Linked DNA regions of Alligator mississippiensis. The protein of the gene in region 1 purifies or fractionates together with the protein of each later gene. This does not show direct contact. Links are inferred from orthologs where the notes say so. Each region holds a gene or a part of one and is shown in the gene's direction. Other genes may lie near its edges.

Region 1 (11,830 bases):
TACAGTGTCAGACCTCTGGGGCAGGGCATCATGACTAGCATGATGCTGGGGAGGCACCAGATGTTTTAGATCCTGACTGAGGTCACATTCCTTACTTACAAGAGCAGTTCAGCAGTTTCTGACATTACCGCAGCATTAGCTAGTTAGCTCCTTCCTTTTAGCAACCTTATGGCTCCCTCCTGGGAATCGCCAAAGATCTGTAGGAAAGGAGCTCAGTGTCGGGTCGTTCCATAGCCACATTGCTGCTTTGATAGCAGGCTCTTTTATTCTTACAATCTGGGGAGTCTAGAGCCTTTCATAGTTGTAGGGTTGCATCTGGACTTCCAGAAACGTATGCAGTTTTCAAATCTCTGAACTACCGGACATTTTCCTTTCAGACACTTTATGCATACACTGGTCTCAAGCGTGTGGGTTCCTTCTGCATACAAAAGGCCTTAAACGTGCAAACTTTGATATAGGAATCAATACAGTGAGAGAAACAAGTCGTACCTACATTACTTAACATTTTAAAGGCAAGGATGAGATACAGATCACAATTGAATTTATTAACATTCCAGGCTGTAACATTTTCTGTAATTCTAATAGTGCTGAAAACAAAAGTTGTACATGCACAGATTGTTTAATACAGAAATATGAATACACACACACATACAAATATAGATGGATAGACACCAAGTCTGCTGTATTAAGTGAGCAGCAGTAGGTTGCAGTTTCAAATAGTTAAGGCTAGATGTTTTTCACAGGAATAATTTCTATTTTTGGTGACTTGCTATTTTTATATGTACTTCTAAGTGACTTTTGACAGTTGTTAATGTTTGCTTATTGGAAAATAAACTGAATTAAATTCTCAAAAAGGCTTAGGTTACTTGAGTGCTTAAATCCTTTTTACAGGGGTGTAGGTTTTAGCCATGTTGGTCTAAGGGCATAGGCAGACACGGTTCTTTGGGTGAATCTGATATCTTTTATTAGACCAACTTAAATAGTCGGGAAAAAAATTTTTAAGCGAGCTTTTGGGTTTAAAAACCTTTCGTCAGGCGGAGGAAGTTTCAGCAGTTGGCGCGTGCTCTTCCTGGATGGAATGAAAAGTAAAGAAGCCAGGGGCTGGGCTGGTATGCATACAAGAAAGGCAATCAGTCAATTTTTTCCCAACTATTTGGGTTGGTCTAATAAAAGGTATCAGATTCGACCAAAGAACCTGGTCTGCCTAAATCCTTTTTAACTTTCACTGGGACTTTATGTATCTGAGCCTCAGATTTTTAAAGCTACTTTTGCATTGTTCGCCTTAGAGTAGCAAAGTCTTAACTGATTTAGATAAGTAAATCCTAGTTACAAAAATCACTTAGCTTAAGTCCCAGTGACTTTCAGTGGAACTTGGGGCCCACGTGCCTTTTGGGAAATGGGACATGGCCATCATGTATGCCTTGCAGCACCCAGCTGAGTAACAGATAAATATCTTAAAAAAATCTGGGCTTAAGTCACTTTCAAAGTGGTATTCGGTAACAATGCTTGGCGCCATCACTAGGCACCTATTTTGACACTGCCATTTTTTACTGATTATTTACAAGAAATAGCCAGTTTTGAGAGCGTTAGTCCCAGCACAGCAACTCGGATAAACAAATCACACTAATTATTTACAGCATCTAATCAGCTGAAACTGACATCACATTTTTCAGCAATAAGGCATATCTTGTCTCTGAAAAGGAGCGATAGCCTTTTTTGATCTGCAGCCTGGTTTAAGGTCATTTTAGGTGGCAAAGGAAATCACGAGATACTGTAAACATGCTTTGCTTGATTTTGGCAGGTTTGCATTGGCTCACTCAGTCATCCATTCCGACGGCAAAGATTAACAGAATAGGTTGTGTCTATCAGGAGCCAGAATCTGGTAATATCAAACGGCTGTGCATGGCAAACATATGTACGCTCCCACGCAGGGACAATCAGCAGTGACCATGATCCCAGTCTGACCTGCAAGCCCCTCTTCTCTTTGTCACAACATACTCTTTCGGCACCTTGAGATCGGAACGGGCCCCTCGGCAGGACAGCCTCTGGTGCGAGAGCGTGTCCTGGGCGGAGGTCTAAGACGTGTCACGAGGGTCTAGAGTGGAAGCTCTGTAGACAACTGCTACGGGCTATTGCTGTAGCTGAATCACGTTTTAAGTCAAGCTGCCACCAGAACCGCAGTTCCTATGGCCTGCGTCTCCTAGCAGATCTTGCCTGTAAATGGTTTGGTATTCACATAGTTAAAAGAAATCATATCTGGTCCAGCTGGAACTTTTCTGTGTAACTGACCCTTCCTGCTTGATCTGGTATTGGATTGTTTATGCAACTTCAGTAATTAACCACTATCAGCCTCATTAATGAAACATAAACCACCTCTCCTGCTCATTTATAAAGTACTTGTCAAACCCAATTTAAACAAAGGGCAGAATCTTAAGTAAGTAACAGCCATTCTAAAGCTACTAGGACTCTGCTTATGAGTCACTGTGGTCATTTTGTTGTTTTTCATGCAAAGTAAAATAGAAATTATGGAGTCATCTATTGCTTTTGGCTAGCTCCCTCAGAGTCCATCTGAGATCTGTTACACAGGAGCAACAATGTCTGGACACTATTATTTGCCTTTTTAATGCACAATACTTTGGCTTTTACTCTAAATCATTTAATGATAAAAGCAAAACAATTAGGAATCCTTGGGAAACTTATTGCTAGTTTCACTGCTATAATTTTTGTTACATGTGGGATAAAAAACAGGAGACCCTTGACTATTTTGTGATAGGAAAGCTGTTTTTCTGTACGGCATGACAAGAGGCACGGCTGTTCAAAGCAAACTTGTGAAAGAAAGTTAAATACTGTCTTCATCTAAGATTTGTTCTGTAGCGTTCTACCTTGTTTTACAGGAGTAGCAGGTGCTTCAGTAGAAACTGCCTTTCATCTTAAGCCTCTCCCACGTAAATGGTAACGTGTACAAAAGGAGAAACATTGCCTGGCCCTAGACTATTATTTCTTATGGCTTGTCCAACCGGATAACAGAACGGTCTGATCCCTAAAGAAATAAAAGATCTCAACTCATGGCATTTTGGTGATTGCAGTATAATCACTGGCGGTGACTAGGGGCCCAGTTCTGCACCAATAATGTACTCAGGCCCTAGGGCATGTAGGATAGATGATAATGGCTCGTGTCACAACGTCACTTCCCCCTATAAAGATACCGACTACAGAGAAGGCAAAGAGGAAAAAACAAAAACATACTGTCTTTACTGAAGGGGGAGAGATGGTCAAGGGGATCTTCATTCTCTATTATCATTTCTTGTTAATAGATTTAATAAGGTTAGGCACACTAAGCAAACCTTTGAGGAATACACTCATGTTCCTGTTACCCCATCCTTGCTTCCTATGATCCAATTCTCCGTTGGTTACACTTGCGTAATCTTGGGCCAGCCTTGTCTTGTACCGTGCATCTGTAAAGCACCTACCACAACGAGGCTCTACCTCTTTTTTGATGAATCGTAATCCAGAGCTTTGAGGTCTGGGGTGAAGGTATAGATTTTGTTTGCAGTAGTTCATTCCATACTCTCCTCTGGCAGACTTTACACCAGTACTCACTTCTGCAGCTTAAAGCAACAAGTTTTGCATATTATTTTCTTGACTAGTCAGCTCTTACTTGTGCAGTGTTAGCCTTCCCTGAATATAGCTTTATGTATAGTTAAATCAAAAAGTAATGCTCTTCAGCAAACAGGATCCTGTGTTGCAGCCTAAGGATAAAAATTAGAGATTGATCCTCAGCCACAGAAATGTCACCAGGCAGCACCTTTCAGCTGGGATGTATGCAGATTTCATAAAGGTTGTTTCCCAACTATGACCCAGGAAGAATGAACTATGAGATGCAGTGAACAGCTCCTGTTTAGCATTAGAGTGTGTTCATTCTTCTCCAAAGCTTATTTCAGTTGGTTTAGTGTTAGATAATATAAAGACACTTCTGTTTTATGTCAAAGACATGAGAAATCCTCCTGGTAAAATTAATAGAGAAATAAGCCAGTGGGAGATATAAATTCTCATTAAGTTCTCAAATGTTTTCCTGGAGTAAAGTGGCGGGGAAATACCTCAGTCCTGTAACAAAGATGGTCTTAAACTATTTATCCCTAACACTACCTGTGGTTTTCCTGCAGTCATGGAAAGCGGTTCTTAGTCTTTCTATCGTATCACTTTGCTCTCGGGGCTTAGGACTGGAAATTTCAGACGCCTAAGAGAGTTAGGCATCCAACTCTTGCTGAATTTCAATGAGATTTGAGAGCCTAACTTCTGTCGGCCCCCTTGAAAGCCCCAGCCTAGGATGCAGTCTGCCTTAGAAATGGCATTATACCATCTGTAAAGGTGTGGCTACTTAGAAACGTGGTCAGAGGGGTAGGCAACAAAACCGACGCAGCTGCATTGCGCGTGGCTAGAGTAGGATACTAGGAAGTTCTGTCGAGTTTCCACACTCCACACCCCATTTTGAGTCGCCCTCAGAAAACAAACCGAGAGTGCTAGAGCATGTGGTTCCACGACTACGTAGATCCACTGGTCAAACCTCGCTTCTATACCAATTGGTGGGAGGGCCAGAAGAGCCTCGGGGTTAAGGCTGCATTCAGTGGCTAGCTATGCTGTAGTAGGGAACGATCATTCCCTTCTCCCTGCCGCTGAACCAGGTTCAAATTAACTGACTTGAGCACAGAACCCAAGATTTGTCCCTGAAACATTGTAGCGCATGATGGTCCACGGACACACACGTGCAATATTAAAACAAGAGGACTTAACTGGTGCTTGATCAGATATTCATCACGTTTCAATTGATGGTGATTGTAAATGCATTCAAAACGTAAGGTTTCTGGTGCCAAAATCCTTAAAACACCGAACTGTTACTGTGACTTCAAAAAAGACCTGCCTTCACGGGGCAGAGTATTTTGACACCCTGTCTTAGGCATTGCAAAATAATTATTGTGGAATGCATCTGTCAGCATGTTATCAAGAACGGAGCATAGCTGCTGGGAGACTAAAATAGCTGGGTGTGTATTTCATCCATTTATCAATGATAATGTTTTTCTCTTCCTTCAGCCTGGATTCCATCTTACAGAAATTTGTTTTAATTGTAAAAACAATACTAGACTCATAAACTATGTGGTGCCAATGGCAATTCTTCCAGATTTGTCAGAACTGGATAATGAAGATAAACAATGGGTCTGCATTTCTTAGCGACTTCAAAATCCATTTCCTCCCGCAGTATCTCCTGATGGTGTAATCCTCATCACAGCATTTCTGTCTGTTGTGCATAGCAGTGTTATAGCTTGTAGTGGCAAGAGGTGGGGAGTGCTAATGATGGTGCTAATTGGTAGTGGTTATGTGAAGAATACTACCAATGAAACTGCAACATGACTGGCTCTTCACATGTAAGTTACTGAAATTTTGGCAGAGAGCCATCTGGAACTTATTAATAAAGCTGCAGCTACTCAAGTATTGGCTACTAGATATTTATAGTTTAATTGTAGTTTAACTTAAAAACACTGCACTACTTTTCAGTACAGAATCACTCCATTAAAAGTTTTCCAAGACAGCCTGGAAGCATTTTGCTCTGTCACAGCTTGCTCTTTTTGGAAATAGCGATTTGCTCCTATCTGGCATGTGCTGTTCCTGCTAAAACAAATCCATGTTGCATTTGACAAACTACAGCCATGTAGTTAGGAGTTATTAAAAGCATTAAAGCATTAACCTCTCGTAACCTCATTTTTCACTTTGTACACATACATAAGTGTTTAATCGAATTGAAGTTAAACACTGAAAAATTTGAGAGGCCAACTTTATACATTCTCTTCAGTTTATATAAGGTTGACGTGATAAGAGGCCAAAGGAATTAGAAAGAAGACACCACAGCACAGAAATTGCTCATCACTTGGCTTAAGCTTTGCTACTGCTGTTTGTAAAGCATTTGTGGAGTTAGAGCCTCCATTCCTCCAAATCAAGGGGTCTGGGATGCGGTTCCCTGATGTGGTACCACACCAGCTTGCTCCATCGTTTTGGGGTTTTCTTAATTTAACAAATTCACCTTTTTAAAAGGTCTGCTGGGGAAAGAGCATGTGAGAAAACACCAACCAGCCCGCAGATGCTGGCTGCTTGTGCTGCTGAGTGTCAGCCTGTCACAGTCCTCTGGATGAATTCCTTACTGCCTGAAAAAAGCGTAAGCCAGGCACGCGCTCCCCTGCCCTCCCTCGGCATCTCCTTCTCCAGGGCTGACAAACGTCAGAAGGACGACGGGCCTGAAGCCAGCGTTGCAAGCGAAGGGGCAAGTCAGACGGGCGGTGCGTGATACTCGGGGTGTGCCCGCCGCAACACGGCAGCCCTACTGATGGGCTTCCGGCTGCGCAGCTGGACCTACTCCGTAGCGGACTCGTGCGTGCACGCCTTGGCACGGACACGCTTCTTGGTTCCTATAATTGTATCTACCGTACACAGGACACAGCTCGAGCGGCTGTAGATGTTTGGACTCAGCTGCCCTAAGCCTCAGATACTGCGTGTTTGAGCTCAACGAGGATTACTTCCTCACGCTGGGGAACGGGCAGCACTTTGATCTGCGTGCCCACGACACCTCTGCCCTTCCACCTGCTGCGCAGACGAGTACCGAGGGGCGCTGACAGGAGCTCCCGCACTGGTGCAGCAGGGCTGGGCCGGGCCCGGGCGGGAACAGCAGCAGGTGCGGCGGGCCAGGAGGGACCCACGGGGAAAAGCCTTAGGGGCCCAACCTCACACCAGCACGCCCTCCAGGCCGCGGAGGATGCCCGGCCGAGCCGGAGGTGCGCAGCGGGTGGGGATCCGTCCCGCACCCCTCGGGGCTCCCCGCGCCCATCGCACCTGCTGGCAGGCGGCGCCGCCTGCCAACTCGCCTGCGCGCGTCTCCCGCGTCCACAGCCCACACCGCACCGCGCTCCTCATCCTTCGCACTGATCTGCACCCGCCCCAGCCCCAGCCCAGCGCCCACCCCACCCCGGCCCCTGCAACCATCAGCTCCGGCTCCGCGCAGCGCAGGGCGAAGCAGCCCAACGCCGGCCTGCGGGTGTCCGCAGCGGCCGAGCGAGCCACGGGGCCGCGCCGCCTCGAGCCGAGCGGGCTGCGCCGCGGGGGGCGGCCGGGACCACGTGAGGAGCGCGCGGGGGGCCGGCACCATGTCCACCCCGGAGCAAACAGCGCACACACGGCGGATCAAGGCCGCGGGCGCACCCAGCACGGCGGGGCGGGGCGGGGCGGGGCGGGCGGAGCCGACACCCCCTCCCCGCTGCCCTGACGTTGTTACTGCGTCCTCCTCGCTCCGTGACGTCAGGCCACGCGCCCCCGGCGCCGCCACCCACGTTCCCCCGCGGCCCAGACCCGAGGCCCGGGGCCCGCTCCCGCCGGGCCGCCACTGCGCCTGCGCGCCAGGGCGCCGGGCCGCGGGCGCATGCGCGGTGCCCTCGGCCCGGCGGCGCCGTCTGAGCTGCGCACGCGCCGCCTGCGGGCCGGCGGCGGCTGCGAGGTGCGGCCGAGCCGGACTGTGAGTGCGGCGCCTTCCCGGCGTGCAGCGCACGGCCCCCGCCCCCCCGGGGCCCGGCATCCGCTCCGCTCCGCGCCGCCCCGGGAGCGGGGGCGAGGGGCGGGGCGGGGCGGCGCGGCGGAGGGCGCCTCGCCGCTCCGTGCGTCTGCCCCCTGCCGGCCTCGCGGCGTGGCGCAGGAGGCGGGGCGGGGGCGGGGCGGGGCGGGGCCAGCGGCGCGGTCACACCTGTGCTCACTGCCCGCAGGTCGCGCTCACGATGAGCTGCACGATCGAGAAGATCCTGACGGACGCGCGGACGCTGCTGGACCGGCTCCGCGACCACGACAGCGCGGCCGAGTCGCTCATCGACCAGTCGGCCGCCCTGCACAGGCGCGTGGCTGCCATGAGGCAGGCAGGGGCGGCGGGAGCCGAGCAGGTGAGTGCGGGCGGTGGCAGGCGGGCCAGAGCCGCCGGCCGTCCTCCTGCCCCGTAACCGCGTCCCTCCGTCTCGCCAGGCTCACGACGAGGCCGCCAACGTGAAAGATGTGTCTAAGCTCAAGCCGCACCTCCTGCTCTCCCAAGAGAACACGCAAATCCGGGACCTGCAGCAGGAAAACAGAGGCGAGTCGTGTGCTGCCCCGGCCCCGGCCTGGGCGCCTAACCTTTAGGAAGGGGGCGATGCTGACACGCTTAAGCGCTTGCCCAGCTTGCGCGGGGCTGTACGCACGTGTCGCAGCATCGTGCAACACACGGCTTTCATTGTGTCTAGGTACCGGTAAAGGTGTGGTTCTAGTTTCAGGGAAATTGGGTTGCCTGAAGACTGAGACTGCACATTGTAAATGAACTCCCTAGGTGATCAGTAAGCAAGACGCTGAAGATCAATTGTCAACTTGCCTTTCTTAAGTCTGTGTCTGGCAAAATAAATCCTTCTGCAGCAGTTATGATTTCTTCATAACATTAGTTTTGTATGTTGCAGAATTGTGGATCTCCTTGGAGGAACACCAGGATGCTTTGGAACTGATCATGAGCAAGTACAGGAAGCAGATGTTACAATTAACAAGGGGAGGAAAAGATGAGGATGCTGAACCAGTCTTGAAAGTGCACCAGGCTCAGTCCGTGGTGAGGTGGGGCAGGGAGGTGGCAGGCAGTTTGTGTCACTTGTTTCCACCCAGGGTTGGGAATAAAACTTGCTCTTTAAAAAAACAGGGGCCCCATGCTGTGCTGTTGTCCCTTATGTGCACACTCCCTCTGTATCCTGTTCGAGGAGCACCTCTACTGATCCCTTCATCCATGGCCCCTCATATAGAAACTTCTCTTTCCACACGTGCAGCAACAAAAATCCACGTACCTTTATAATTATTTTAACATCGACCATTTAAAAAGGAATGCATACGCCTCCCAGTTTCCATGTCGTGACCAGTGTTCGGGTTGTTTGTATGCATTGTAAACCATATAATTCCTCAAGGCAGTTATTAAATGATAACAAAGAGTTTAAAGTCTTGCTATTCATCAGGCTGTTGAATTGGTTAAGGAATCTCTATTTTGAATTCCCAAAAGCTGCCAGTGCCACTACTTGAAAGGCCATGCTTTGGTCTGTGTCACATGCACTGATTTAACTAGTGAATCTTTCATTTGTTTTACAACAAAGTTTCAGTGCCCTCCTCTGGAATCTCTCTACAACACAGAGATTAAGAAAAATTAAAGTGTGATGCCCCAAACTGAACAGCATATTCCAGATGAGGCCTCACCAGTAACTGAATACAGGAGAATAATTGGCTCCTGTGCTTTATGTTTGCAGGAGATTGAGAGTCAAATAGACAGAATCTATGAGATGGGAGAAGTGATGAGAAAAGCTGTTCAAGTGGATGACGATCAGTTCTTTACAATTCAGGAAAAACTAGCCCAGTTGGAGGTAAGACCATTGTATAGCTGGGAATTCGGGTAAGTGGGCCTGTTGCCTGCTCACATGCACTTAACAGCAAGTTGTCTAGGTTTTGAGATCCTGAGTGGTTCAGGGGAATCCCTGGTGCTCACACAGGGGTATGGTAAAACCCCTTATTAAGGAAAAATCCGAAAGTGGCACCTAATGTCAAGTTTGTATAGAGTAAGTGAATATATACAAACTCTGATCAGTATCAAATTGTCTAATTCCTGTTGATATTTCAGTATTTCCATAGGAATCGGTAGCCTGGAACTTACTTGAAAATTCTGTTTTGTGCAGAGGGACCCCTAGTCTGATATTGAAATGCTCTCTGCTTTCCGGAAATAGAAAGTGCAGGAGAGAGAGGCCAACCTTGGCCCCCACAGTCTGTGTACTTTTGTCACCAAAGTAAAAGATTTAAAAGTGGAAGCAGTAGGACAGTACCCATCCCTCTCTCAAGCACCCACAGGTCTTTTGTGATACAAATAATCCAGAGATAAAAAGAGAGAGACCTTAGATTGTTTTGCTCCTCTCCTCCCAGTGCTGGGTTGTCCCCTACATTACACTATCAGTAATCTGTCAGGTTTTAAATTTGTTAGACAACAGGGCTTTCTTAACCATTCTTGTCCTTTAATTGTGAGTTAGTTCATTTCTGTTTCAGCCCAAATATTGATTTTGCAGCTTGAAAACAAAGAGCTGCGTGAGCTGTTATCCATCAGCACGGAATCTCCCGCGGTGAGGATAGCGGAGCTGCCGGACAGTGGACCTCAAGCTCCCGAATAACTGTCTCTCTTTGCTCTTGAATTTTTAAAAAACTAAACTATCTGGAACCAACCCTACAGGAAAGCTCACTTTCTTTTGCGTGGTGTTCTTCCACATGTCTCCTGGTACCCTCATTTTTCTCTGTCTTCCACAGTGTATATATTTATTTTCTTAGCACTGCTGTTGAAACATCCCCCTCTGATGGCAATGGTTTGCAATGCTGCTCAGTCTTAATAACAATTAATGGCAGCTTAACCATGAGCTATACTCCTTTGTGCTTGTCTTCCCTAATAAAGCATGCTTCTAGCTCAGCTTCAGTTAAAACTCTTACCTGTGCAGATAGCAGTTTATCTATCTTAACTCCCAGTTCATCGGTGGCTTTATTTTATGAGTGGTTATTTTTTTGTGTAATGGTTGCGATTTAGTTGATGGTTTGAAGAGCTGTCTTTTACATACCAGGATATATGTTTAATTTTTTAAATGGCTAACTCACCAAGCAGTGTGTGGCTGGGTTAACATCGCTGGGATACAGACTGGAAGACTGGCTGCTGCTTGTTGTAGGCAGGTTCAGATACTGGCACAGAATGTTGTTTAGTAATACTTTCTGCGTTTCTTGTGTTGTAACGAACCTGGTATCTGCAACCTCAATGTTCCAATGACTAACAGTATTTTAAATCACAGAAGACTTTTAAATACACGCTTCCAAGTTCTTTTCCTAAGTAACTGAAAGCTGAATTATTAATATTTAATTTAGCAGTTCCATAGGAATGTCAAGTTATTTGTTCAGTCCTCCATCAGAAGGCAGATTTTTGGTGGTCGTGGAGGGATTTAGGGCTCGTCTCTGAATTACGGAAGAAATACTTGCCTCATCCCAGAACATCTTTGGAGAAGCTTAGTCTGAGAGAGGAAAAAGGAATTCTCAATAGGAAGATGCTGGGTGAAAAACCTCCCTTCTTCCATCCCAAGTTAAAAATAAATGAACGAAACAAAGAAAGTTTTTCTTCAGAACTCTTTTTGAGACCAAGCAACATGCTTCTCTTTCCCCTCGTGCCTGGGAGATTGGTATTTTAAGTGCAGGGATTGAAACTGAGCCATTTCTTGTCGTGTGTTTTGCTTTTATGGTAATGTGTTCTGGGAGGTCTGCGTAAGTGCATTCCACGGGCAGGGGACTCGCTGGATTGCACAGCAGTTTGCCTCTCGAGCTGCCGTGAAGTTCAGAAGCGGAAGCAGTTGCCTAGCAGTCATTGCTTAGATCCTCACTAAGCAAAGGGTGGGAAGAGGGTGCCATTTTAATTGTGTTCTTCTGCTAGTCTGCTTTTTTTAAGAGTAAACTTTAGCGCAGTATCTGTGCCCGTTGTCTGTAACTCATAAAGCTGCCCTGAGTTTTTCACGAGAGCTCCAGGCAGTTGGGTGCTCAGCTGCCATTCACTGTTGGTAGGAGTGAGATGCCTGGCTGATGAAGAGCCCCTGTCTGCACAGTCCTTGAACTCCAGGTCCCAAATAAAATGCTTCCAACAAGTTGCTTCAGTTGCTGTAGTGGACTTTTCCCCAGGGAAGCGGTGAGAACTGGCCTCGTCTCTTCTCAACGCAGCCTCCGACGTAGCCGTGTTACAGCT
Region 2 (12,035 bases), on another chromosome or scaffold:
GCTGTCCATCACTGCAACCACTCAGGTGAGCGGGGTCCAGGTGCAGGGGGCAGGAGCCTGGTTAGTGCCACGGCCTCTCCTTGATGCTGTCTACTTGGACCAAAACAAGGGTGACTGAGCCCAACGTCTTCTCTCTGCAGGCTCTGGCATTGATAGAGCTGTACAACGCCCCAGAAGGGCGCTACAAGCAGGATGTCTACCTGCTGCCGAAGAAGATGGGTAAGGATGGACCCGGCACCTTGTTCTCCTGTCATGGAGGTGGAGCAGGGGTGGGAGACCTCAGTGGCTTGGGCATATTGCATTTGTCTCCTTTCTTCCTGCTGGGCTCTGTGTCTGGGGAATGAGAGCGGAGAGCTGAGTCAGCCCTCTTGGGCATCACCTTGAGCAAGGCTGTCGGTCCCGCTGAAAGCAGGCACCTCTTTTCAGGAGGTTTGCACGTCTCAGGGTCTGTAGAGAGGAGACCCCAAGCTCTTCCGTGCAGGAAGGTGGGCAGCAGTGCTGTAGCTCCAGGGTGGAGTCTTATCTCCACACCCCTGCCCAAGCCACAGCCCTCCCGGTCTGGCACTGCTTGGTGAGACCTAAATGGATGAACAGAGGAGGAAACACTAAAGCGGTGGCGGGGCATGAAGACCCAGGAGAGCAGGCCCTGCACTCTGTACCGGGACAGGACTCCTCTTACAGGCAGGATGGGCCACAGCAGACCGTTGCACTTGGTTCGGGACTTTAGTCTGCAAAACCCTGTGTAGCGAGCATTTCCGTGAACCCCGTGCAGAAGGGTGGTGTTGAGGGGGGGACCCAGGGCCTCGCTCACTTCCCAGGCCTTGATCTCATTCCAGATGAGTATGTGGCGAGTCTGCACCTCCCAACGTTCGATGCGCACCTGACCGAGCTGACGGACGAGCAAGCGAAATACCTGGGGCTGAATAAGAACGGGCCTTTCAAACCAAACTACTACAGGTGCTGGCTTGGGGCAGCCCATTCCTCTCTGGGAGGTGGGGGAGGGGGCGATACAGCTGCCCACATCTGCGCGCGTGCGGGGATCAGCTCGAAGCTGTCTGCATGAGCAAGAACGTGCACGATTTAGGGTCCTGCCACACATTCAAACTAAAGCTGGATTGAAACCCGCTGTAAAGTTATTACGCATTTTCAGCCACTAACTTTGTAGCTGATCAGCTCTCTTTATAGCCGGATGGATATTTTTATGGCATGCTCATCATTACTCTGCACGTATGACTGGTCTGAGTTTACGGCGCGATTCACCAGTTAATTGCATGATATATGTAACGTGTGGCAGGGACCTAAGAGCCTGATCTCACCGATCCAGAGGGAGGGTATCGCTGGTGACCTGGTGCTTGCCATTTGGCCAGGTGGGGCTAGACTGACCCAGAAGGCCCCTTGCCCTCCTGTGTCCCAACATGCTGTGTGCAGTGGGGGTGCAGGACAGGGAGAGCTCTGCCTCGGCGCCTTGCCGAGACGAGGCCACCTGGCATACCCAGCGGCAGCTGTCGTTGGAAAGCAGCAGAGCTCGCAGCGCGGCCGTCCGGCCAGCTCAGATGCCCAATTATTTTTCAAGCTCGACGAGCGCAGAACGGGCACCGAGGCCCGTTCCCCAGGGTTACGTTCCTCTGGGGAAGAGTCATAGGGAAGTGGGGCTGGAAGGGAGCTTCAGGGATCATCTAGTCCCGAGGCAGGATCAGCCCTGTCCAAACCAGCCCGTATAAATCCGTCGTCCAACACGACACTGTTAATCCAGACTCGATTGACGCAGTCAGCCCTGACACCACACAGACATCGCACCCGAGCCTGCGGCGAGCAGTGTGCTCTCCATGCAGCGCACTCTCTATCACACGTGGGGGCAGATAGTCCTCCTGACGTGTTGTCCTCCTCTTTGTGCCCTTGAGCATCTACCCCCACTTGTTTAACGCTCCCTCCCCATTTCTGCCAGTGGGCGCTGGCTTCCTCATAGCCTGCACAGAGTAGATGACAGCGCAGCGCGGTAGGAGTCCTCAGCTCGTCGCTGTTTGGGGCCAGCCCGTTAGAAAGAACATCTTCCCCTTCATTAAAGTCCCAGCGCTCCTTTCTGCCACGAGAGCAAGTGGGTGCGCCCCCAGCGAGCTGTCAGAGCTGGGGGTGAACACTTCCCTCGTCCCGGTGAGCCCTGGAGAAGGATGTCCCCGGAGTCATGTCGGACACAACTCGCCCAGGCGCTGGTGCCGACCTGAGGGCTCCCAAACCCCCAAAATGATCGGAGTGAGGGGCGAGCGAGACCTGTCTGAGGCCGATAAGTCAAGAACCGCGCACGTTTTACGCCTCTGCGCTCACTGAAAGCTTCGTGTCTCACCTCTTTTCCCAGGTATTAAGCTCCCGCAGCCAGAAGAAGCGTAAGGAAGAAGAACTCACGTCTTTTCCCAACTACTGTACAGGACGAAACAGTACAAGCTTCCCAAGTCAGAGCTGGACTTGCTCACATAGTAGACAGTGTGTTAGGTTATTTATTTATTAAACTAGAATACTGTACATGCGGCCTCTGCCAATGGTGTTTTTTACTGCCATGGGACTGTGAGACGGTTGATTTTTTCTTTTTTTCTTTTCTTTTATTTTTGGTCAGGGCGGGGGGGGAGGTGGAGGAAGCAAGTCGGAGGCAAAAAGGAAGGCTGGTTGAGTGAATTCGCTGCAAAGTCTCTGTCAGCTTCAAGTAACCCGCGATCGCTGTCCCCACTGGCATACACAGGTGTGGAGGGAAGCGGGCGAGACGTTACTCTGGGTTCCCGTTTTCTGCGTGGAAGCAAAATCCACGGCAGTCGCAAGAACCAGGCCTCAGTGTGCAGGGCCGGTTGGGGGGCTCCGCTCTTTACTTCTCCCACCGTTTGAAACCCAAACTAGCACCGCCTCGTTGGCTCTCGCTCTTGCTGGAGGGGTGCTACCGTGTTCGTGCCTCTCCCGGCGGGTCCCCAGGGTAGCGCTCTCCTTTCATTCTGCTGGTCCGGCAAGGCGGCGGCTCTGACCACGAGCCCCAGTGCTGCCGGAAGCTGCAGTCCAGGGGTTCAGTCGACAGCCCGAGCTGGGGACGCCCCTGCCCAGAATCGGGAGCCAGCAAGGCAGAGACGAGCCCGCTCTCAAGCAGTCCCTCTAGGGTTCCCGTCCATGGAGCACAAGACCCACCGATGCACCTGCTCAGCCGCTTTGCGGTACTTCTCTGCGGCTTACGACCAGTGCCACACTTCCACCAAAGGGATCTCCCTCCTGGACTGCGGCGTGGGGCCTCGAGCTGTCTCGTGGGAGAGCCTTGCTGCTCTGTTGACAAGCGCCGCCTCCATCTCGGGGTCAACCTTGGGGACGACACCCCCTGGGCGCAGTCTTCTCGCTGCCGTGGAGGGAGGCGGCAACGTTGATCGTGTCCAAGGACTGTTCTTGATGCTACGGATCCTTCTCCAGTCGGTATTTCAGCCCTCGCCTGGAGTCCTTGCCGTGTACAGCGACACCCGTTTAACAGAAACGCTTCCCAGACTCCCAGCGCTGGATCTGCCAGCGCCTTCTTTCCATAGTTCATCGCTGAACGAATTCTGGAAAACCTTTTTTGGTTATGAGAGCACCAAGCCCCAGCGCAATTACTACGCTACGGTCTCTGGCTTGAGGATTAGGTTTTCAGCTCAGAATCGCTGTCGTGTTTATGAGACATCGAGTCTCGAGGTGGGAGGGTCATGGAAGACAAGGCTGCCATCATCGCTTGTTCTGGCAGAGATGTCCCGCCTGGATAGTACGTACGATGCACCCAGACGCACGCCCCGCAAGATCACTGTTCGAATGGCCGTGTCTCATCGTACCGATCATCCTGAGAACATTGTTCCTCGTATCAGAACTGCAAGAACTTCAGCCGGCGCTTGCCAAACCTCCACGAGAAGCACTGACCTGAGCACCCAGGCCTTTATTCGTTGCTCTCCACCATGGTATCTGAGCCTCTCATCAGAGGAAGCTCTCTGGATCCTCAGCCTTCCTGAAAGAGGTTTCTGTGGTATTTTCTTTACACACTAAACCCCCCCAATGAACTGTGGTCTTACCTGCAGGGTGTAGGACTGTCGCCCCTAGAGATGACGACTGCTTCCTAGGCTGGCTCATCCCGCATCAGGATTGCTCCCTACAGCAAACTTGCCTCTCTTGCTTTTCAGTAAAACCTCAAAAAACCCACATGATGGAGCTTTCCTTCTAACGTGCTGTCGGAAACCCTCGGCAGCCACGTGTCAGGGACTCACGGCAGAATGATCAGCGATCGGGACGTTCCCTGAATCTTCTCTTCTTGGCAAATTATACTTGGATCGTAACATTTTTAGAAAGAGATCACCTGAAGTGTTTTCCTAAGGCAGGTTGGCCATATTCCATCACACCGGTCGAGTTGTCCAGTCTATAAGGACCTGACTTCGTTACAAGACTCATCCATTTGGTGTGTTTGCAAACGTGGGCTGAAATCTCGGTCCCCCGGGCCATCAGGGGCAGGCCTTCTGTTGACTCCATGGGAGCCAGGATTTCACCCTTAGGCTGCATGCTTTGGGGGGCAAAAGACCTGTGTTGCTCTTCAAGATCCTGGCATGTAGCGGCTGCCCGAGCGGCCAAGGAGGAAGGGACAGACCTAGAAGGGGAGCATGTCCCGGCAGTGCAACACACTGGTCGCAGCGCAGTATCCTGATAGCCAGGGACCGGGGAACACGCAACTCACATCCGATGTAGCTTAGACCGTGGTCTTGTCTCGGGTCTGACGGCACATCCATACATCCAACATGGCCACCTGCTCTTTATCTCACAGGGCTACGTCGGGCATGTGACACTGCTTGTTCAATGGGTGTTGGTTTTCGGCCCCGGTCTGCCTCTGCTCTGCAGGTCAACTTCTCACCGCTCGGGCCCGGGGTCAGTTAAGGAGCAATACGGTATTTCTGCAGCGACCGTTGCCCGCTGCCTCAGCCTCCCCAGGTGGGTGTCACGGCGCTGGTGTGAAATCCCGGCCTTGGCTAGCAACGGCTGACGCTGCTCTTCTCCCAGCACGCTCTCATCTGTGTTGGGCACGCATGTCCCAAACTGGGATAAAGACTGAGGCCCTTGGCTATACGGCAGCATGGCTGGCAGGGTTTGGGGCTGGCAGTGCATCTCACGTGGCCTGGAGCCCAGGGCACCCCACGGCCTGGCTCGTCAGCAGTCTCCCGTTGTGGGCAGCGGGCATCTGCTGTGCTGGCCGCACTTGGCACCAACTGAGCATGTGGCAACAGCTGATCTCCCCGAGAGCTGGTCTTTCACACCAGCGCGGCGGGACCGCCAGCCACCCACTACCTTATTCGTGGCACTGGGGACGCCGGCCAGCCATGTCATCTCTGGAGCGGAGCCGTGGGGGAGGGCAGCTGTGGGTCGCATCGGTCACGGCGGGAGAAGTAGGGTCCAAAGCCAGGCTGGTTCTGCCCCGGGGGAGACAGTGGTCCCATCCCCGCAGCTGAGGACAGTCGCTTCCCTGGTCCACGTCCGTCGGTAGTGTGGCCCGTGGTGGGGCTGTCCTCCCCGGAGAGCCTGTGCTGATTTTAAACCTATTTTATCTTCTGTGTAGATACAAGAAGGAAAAAATTAATGAATTAATAATGACACCAAATACTCCTAAATGACTTCTTTCCCCTTGAATCTTTTAAAAAGCTTTCTCTATGTGACTCCGCTTTTCCATAAGCTTTTCCGCTTGCTTGGCTTCGGATCAATCTGGGATCCTCCTCTCAGAGTTGTCCCCGGGGGGTTTCTTTGGGTTTCTTTTCTTTTTTTTTTAATGTAACAAATTCAAAAAGAAAAAAAAAGAGGGGGGGAAAGGAGAGCGGAGACACCAGCACGATGATCTGAGGAGGAGCATTCGGTTGTTGAACTTTAGAAACCAGGACAAAAATGAAATAATCTGTCACATCTACAGTCGGTGACGACATTGCGAAGCGTAACCTTTTCAAACGGATGTTTTAAATATTCATGTCTGAGTGATTGTATTAGAGCAGCAATAAAGACTCTGTAATCTCAAAACGCCAATAAAGCGTCGGAAAAGTGGCTGGTGCCTGGGCTGTGTTCACCGTGCACAGACAGCGGTGGGACCGTGGCCGGTGTCTGCCCCGGGCAGTCGAGCGCTAAAGAGGAGCCAAAAACCAGGGCTGAGAGGTGGGAACGGCAAGGGCCGCGCGGTCCCGGGGCAGCCGGACGTCACATCTGAGTCAACCCTGGGGCATGACGAGACTCCAGCCCCGCTCCCCTCGTCCCCTGTCCGGGCAGGGGGAGCAGAGCTGACTGTCTTGGCAGTTCCCGTGTCGGGGTGGCGGCTCCGTGTCCCCCTGGCAGGTTCTCACTTTCTCTGACCTGAGTGCCTCTCCCCATCCAGGCCCGGCACTGGGGGCACGTGGGACTGGGGGGCGGAAGGGAACCTAATGAGCAGTGACTTGGCAGCAATCTGTGCCGCCCGGGGCGCTGGCAGCCTTGGCTGCGGCCTGGGGGATCCTTTGCTGGGGAGTCTCCTGCCCCGGCCTGGCCAGGCTGGAAGGAGATGTCTCGTTTGACACAGGCCTGGCTTTTCCTGAGTTTCACCCGGATCGGCACGGCCATCTACACCCCTAGCCGTGCTGCTGCTCCTCCGCCAGCAGGGGGAGGGAGCGTGCAGCCTGGCCAGCAGTTGGGGCTGGGGACTGGGGAGGCCACCCTGCAGCGCAGTGCCGCGAGTGACACGAGCAGCGTCTGCGCGGCACGCGGGAGGTGAGGGAGGGACCACAGAGATCAGCGGCCAAAAAGGTTGCCCTTCCTCCCTCCACCCCCTCTATTAGGGACTGACCCGGGACAGCCCAGCTCCATCCCGGGGAAGCATTAGCGCCTTTTATTCTGGGCAGGGGAGGGACCAGACGCCTCTGCCCATAGGGTTGCGGGACCAGAGGCAGCTCCTGGCTCCAGCCCCGTGGGGGCAACTGGAAACCGTGCCCAATACCAGTGTGCCCTTCCCCGGCCCTGCCTGGACAGTCCCGTTCACCGCTCCTGTCCGCAGGGGGGCAGCGAGGGCAGCTGGAGGAGGAGGAGGAAGCACCAGCGGGGATGCCCCGAGCCCCCCAGTGATGCAGGAGTGGGGGGTCTGCGCGGGTGCGGTGGCACTGTGGGCTGGTGCTGGGGACCAGGCGTGGAGGGAGGTGGCAGGGAGGAGCCCGGGGTCCCTGGGCCTGGACCCAGCGCCTCGCCCCGCGCCTCCACGTGCCCTTCGCACCCCGCCCCTCCCCTGGCAGCCAATCGCCGCCAGGGGGGCGAGTCGCAGCCAGCCAATGGGCGCGCGGCGGGGCGCGGCGAAACCACGCGTTCCACTGCCCCGCCCCGTCCAGCGGCGCGGCCAACGGGCGCCCGGGGGTGTGTCCCCGCGGAGCCGCCCCCCGGCCAATGAGCGCGCGGGGGCGTGGCGGGGCCGCGGGAGCCGCCCCACGTGCGCGGCGGGCGCAGAGCGGCGCGGACACATGGAGGAGGCGGCGCCCGCCCGCGCCCACGGCCGGGACCTGCTCCGCGCCCCGCGCGCCGGCTCCCAGGTGGGTGCTATGCAACCTCCCCTGCCGTCGGGGGGAGAGAGCCGGGCCCCTCTTTCCGTGGGCTCTGGACCGGCTGCAAAGAGGGCAGGGGAGGGCAGGGGAGGAAGCGTGCTGAAGTCTCGGGACAGGAGCCGGGTGCGCGGCGCAGCCCGGCTGTGGCTGCGGGCTAACGAGGCCGCTGGATCAGTCTGGAGGCTGCCGGAGCGTGGGCTGGGAGGTCGCGTCCAGTCCAGCGCCCTGCCTGAGACAGGGTCAGCCCCGTCCAAACCCTCCTGTGCAAAGCACGATCCCCAACCAGAAGCAGAAAAGGGATTTGCTCGGGTCTGGGGTCTCTTGTTGGAAAGGCGAGGGCGGGCTGGGCGCCGCGTGCTTCACGCCGCTCGTTTAAAATATAGCCGGTACAGCAAGTCGTTGCCCCGGCTATAACAGTTCTCCGGCCGTGTTCGTGGCTCCAGATTCACGCCGCCGGGATTCCCATCCTAGCTTGAATCCCCCCCAGGAGCGACCGCAGGGTTTTGCTGGCAGCGGGTCCAGCCTGGCTCCTCGCTTCTGACCGCGCAAGTTGTTCACCCGCTTCACAGCCCTTTCCGTCCTGGCTCGGGCGGGCGAGCCTCCGATACAGCCCGTGGCGGTCGGCTTGTCACTAAAAGTCTGAATGCGAGTGGTTACGTGGTTACAATCGCACTTGGCGTTGGGGTAGGAGTGGGGGGAGGCGACTGAGGCTACATTTCACGAGCCAACTCTGCTCAAAAGCCTCCTCAGGCCAACGCAGATGCTCGCCGGGCCCGGAAACGGCAAGGCAAAGCCCGCAAGAGGGGTGCCGGGGACGTGATCGTTGTGAATAGCGGCAGTGTTAGTTCTTCCTCCGGGTGCCGGGTCCTCGTTAATGCAGTGCCTCGGCGTGGTGACCTTGGACCTCTTCTTGCTGTGCCGGTGATAACGGCTATCACTGCTATTCGAGTGCGACTGATACTGGACATCAGTTTCTGCATGTAGGGATCAGGAAACAGGTGGGGGTCCACGTTGCCTCCTCTGTCGGCCGAGGGGCGCAATCACGTTCTGTTGCTCGTTCTGCACCCTTCGTAGCACGGTGCCAGGCTCGCCTGTCACAGGCCGTACCCTCCCAGGACATTAGGCACGTCTACACGTGCACTTTACTGCATAGTAGATTGTTTTACTGCGCATTAAAGCATCACATAAACACTGTGACGTTATGCTAATAGCCTACTGCGCATTAAGTGTCACTAAAAAAAGCATGCAAACGTGCTCCTGCGTATTAGCACAGCCGAACATGCGTTCATGTAGCCCTGCACCTTGGAGGTACTAATTTACTGCACATGAGGAAAGGCGCATTAATGCAAGTGTAGACGCACCCATTAAGTTTAGCCTGGCAGACTGCATGTGCCGCTTAATGCAGTCCCGTGTTTTTCAGTTCTTCTCAACTCTGAATAATTTTTTGGTTCCCTTCGGCTGCTATTTGTGCTGCCTCGTGTCCTCTAGCGGGTCGCGTGCACATGCTCACGTTGCCTTCCTGCACTTGTTTCTTCAGATCCTTTGCAAAAGGTTCATGCCCCAGTTCCTTGATTTGGCCGGCAGAGTTTCCACAGGGTAGAGACCTACTTGCAGCCTGAGCAGCTGTGTTCTGCAGAGGCGAAACGATAGCCTCGGGACACTGTAGCATGGGTGGGGAAAATACCCAATGGCTGGTATTCGACTAGCAGGTGCAAATCTACCTGACTTCAGACTAGCACAGCTGCCTGCCTCTCCCTGGTACGACACCTACACGGTGCATCGTCACTGCGGGGCCCGGGAAATACGGGAGATGTCTGTGGACAGCCACTGCAACATGGCTGGAAACGGAGGGAGAGTAAAGTCACGGCTCGGTAGCGAGGAGGGAAACGGGAGGACACCGTGCCTGGTTGTGACCCTTGTTAACGACTGGCTCTTGCATTTTGTATTGTGATTTCAGGAATCTTCCCCAGCTCGCGTGCCCTCGTACGCTTGTATCTACTAATATTTTCAATTAAAAAAAAAAAGACAGACAAAAAAACCCTTTAGTGCTAGGTTTTCTGTCTGCACGTGCCCTGAGCGGTCCCTTGTGCTGCCAGTCGCCCCTCCGCAGGGTTCCTCATGGAGCATAACACACCAGCCTTAATTTAGGAAAGCATCCCAAGTATTTGTATCTGCATCTATAGATAGGTGGGTCTTCTCTGGTGGTGGAAGTGCGGGCAGGCAGGCGTTCAGGCACCACCTTGGGTGGCATTTGTAGCATGGTTCAGAGCATTGTCGGATGCGTAAAAGAAAGAAAAGTCCCTTTTAAAAAAGCTTTTAAAACTTTTTTCTTTAAAAAACGTCTCTCTCTAAACAGAGCTAACTACCGCTTCCTTGTAAAGAGCCAGGCTCTCGGACAGGTTGGAGCAGCCCGGGATGCCCACGTGCCACTATTAAATGTAGGAGTTGCAGTCTGGAACCGCTGGGTCCTTGTTTGGGTGATAGCAACACCCAAGTGGCTTTGGAAACGCGATCAAAATAGCCTTTCCGACCAGGCGGTGTATGGTAAATGGTCTGCACGCGTTCCCTGCCCCGGCCCTAGAGAAGAGCTCCCGTCTGCTGGGGTGATTGCTCCCTGGGGCCAAGGTTTGATCAACTTTCATGGATGCTGCAAAAGTCAAACGGGGAGATCCATCCTGATGTAGCCTTAGCATCCTCTCTCGACTCTCCTGGCCTCGTTCTTGGGACATCCCTGGCTGCTCAGTTTGACACGCGCATCGATTAGCAGAATCGTGATCGCTCCAGTTCCTCTGGATGGGAAACGGGCCCTGACGCTGCATTAACAAAGACTCTTTCTGCCGCAGGGTTCAGTGGACTACCCCAGCCTGGAGTTCGAGTATGGGGACACCGACGGCTACACGGCTGAACTGTCAGGTAAAGAGGCACGCGGGGAGCCGAGGCTTTTGCTGCGCACGAGTTCAACTTCGCTATTAATAGCTGCCTGCTGGGTAGACAGCGAGGCTGGGGTTGGTGGGAGATGCATATTTAATAATATCATCCTATATTAATAGAGCGCCACTCACCCCAGAGGATTGCAGAGTGCTCTGCAAACCACGCGCAGCAGAAGTGACTTCCTCCCCCGCTGAAACGCAGCCATTCGCGGGGCGGGACAGGAGAGCTGCGAACGGTGCCGCTGGTTTGGGTGGGAAGTGAAATGCGTGAGGCGTGAGGGCCTTGTAGCCAAGTTGCTGGAGATATTTGAATGCCCTGATGTCACGTCGGCAGTGGCTTGTGGTGTGCGGGGCCCTCCTCTTCCACCCCTCCCTGACCAACCTGGATTCATCCATGTCTGAGTTCACTAATCATTAGAGCACATGCACGTGCACATACACATACACGTGCGCATGGCACCTGTGGTGTCTTGAATAGTGCAAGGCGTCTGGGAAGGATTCGGGCAAGAGAAATCGGCCTCTTCCCCGATCCCCTCTCTCCTGTATGCGAAGAGCTCACATTGGTAATGTAGTTTCGTGCCAGTCTGTTACGTGCTTTGCAGCTGGAACAGGGCTGGGATCTCTGCTGGGGCTCACGCTGACGGCCGATAGTCCAGCTTTCCTCGGTTAGCAATGCGTGGGCGACGCGTGCTCTTGGCCGCGGTGGAGGGCTGAAACGGGCACTTCCAGACCCAAGCGCCAGCACAGTTACCGCTTGCAAAACTCCAGGTTCAGCAGCTGGGGGATGCAAGTGCTTGTATCCTCTCCGTAGCAGCAGAGAGAGGGCTCGTAGCATCCGCTCATCAGTGCTTTCCCCAGGCATCAGCACTCAGGGGACCGAGACGCCCATCCAGTAACCAGACGCTGCTTCATTAAACCACATCGCTACCCTTCTGCAGCAAAGATCCCTCTCTTGCTGATGCTAGATTGCAGTTCAGGTGGTCGAAAGCTCTTGGAGCAGGATCATCGGGGACATGGTCCCACGTCACAGTGAGGTCGGGCCTTTCTCTACTTTGTGTCTGCTGCTCTAGTGAAAATGCAGCCTGTGGATGTGTGGGCTCAGGCCCAGGCAGTGAAAGGCTGGGGCATCCCCTAACATCCCTGAATCTAAGGGCTCCACCATTTTTGGAGGAAAATAACAGCAAGAGAGCAGGGAACCCAAAGCACGTTCGCTGCTGTTGCATGTACGGCAGAGCATATTTGCGGCTGCTGCGCGTACAGCAGAGTCTGCGGAGATTTCGGTACGCTGGGGTGTTTCTCCTGCTTTCCAAAGCTTCGGCCTCCAGACCAGGAGGATGCCGGCGGAGGGTGCTGCACTGTCAGGCGTGCCTGTACAGCAAAAGGCAAGGTTGGCGGCAACAGCTTGGGCTTTCCCCTATGCTAGCAAGCAGAGACCCAACTCCGAGAGGCTGGCTATGTGTTCAGGTCACTACTGCCCGAGAGACCCTGTGTCACTGCGTCTCCCCTGCTGCCGATACCTCTGCTGCAGTCGCCCCTT

Evidence for each region.
Region 2: the proteins of SIKE1 (region 1) and STRIP2 purify together in Homo sapiens (affinity purification with mass spectrometry; 3 studies listed by BioGRID and IntAct, with this or other methods). This does not show direct contact. The link is inferred for Alligator mississippiensis from reciprocal best matches to the Homo sapiens genes SIKE1 and STRIP2.

What each region holds. Positions count from the first base shown.
Region 1 is NC_081837.1:45,648,623-45,660,452, reverse strand, and holds the start of SIKE1 (suppressor of IKBKE 1), read left to right. Parts: upstream 1-7,451; 5' UTR 7,452-7,459; coding exon 7,460-7,552; intron 7,553-7,777; exon of another isoform or gene 7,778-7,796; coding exon 7,797-7,967; intron 7,968-8,046; coding exon 8,047-8,152; intron 8,153-8,507; coding exon 8,508-8,650; intron 8,651-9,329; coding exon 9,330-9,443; intron 9,444-10,113; coding exon of another isoform or gene 10,114-10,125; exon of another isoform or gene 10,126-10,133; coding exon 10,134-10,235; 3' UTR 10,236-11,652; coding exon of another isoform or gene 11,653-11,658; 3' UTR 11,659-11,830.
Region 2 is NC_081827.1:5,103,145-5,115,179, forward strand, and holds the start of STRIP2 (striatin-interacting protein 2), read left to right. Parts: upstream 1-7,458; 5' UTR 7,459-7,487; coding exon 7,488-7,556; intron 7,557-10,411; coding exon 10,412-10,481; intron 10,482-12,035. Other genes in the region: AHCYL2 (adenosylhomocysteinase 3), read left to right, coding at 1-25, 141-219, 837-957, 2,354-2,360. UniProt on the Homo sapiens protein: Plays a role in the regulation of cell morphology and cytoskeletal organization. Required in the control of cell shape. Calmodulin-binding scaffolding protein which is the center of the striatin-interacting phosphatase and kinase (STRIPAK) complexes.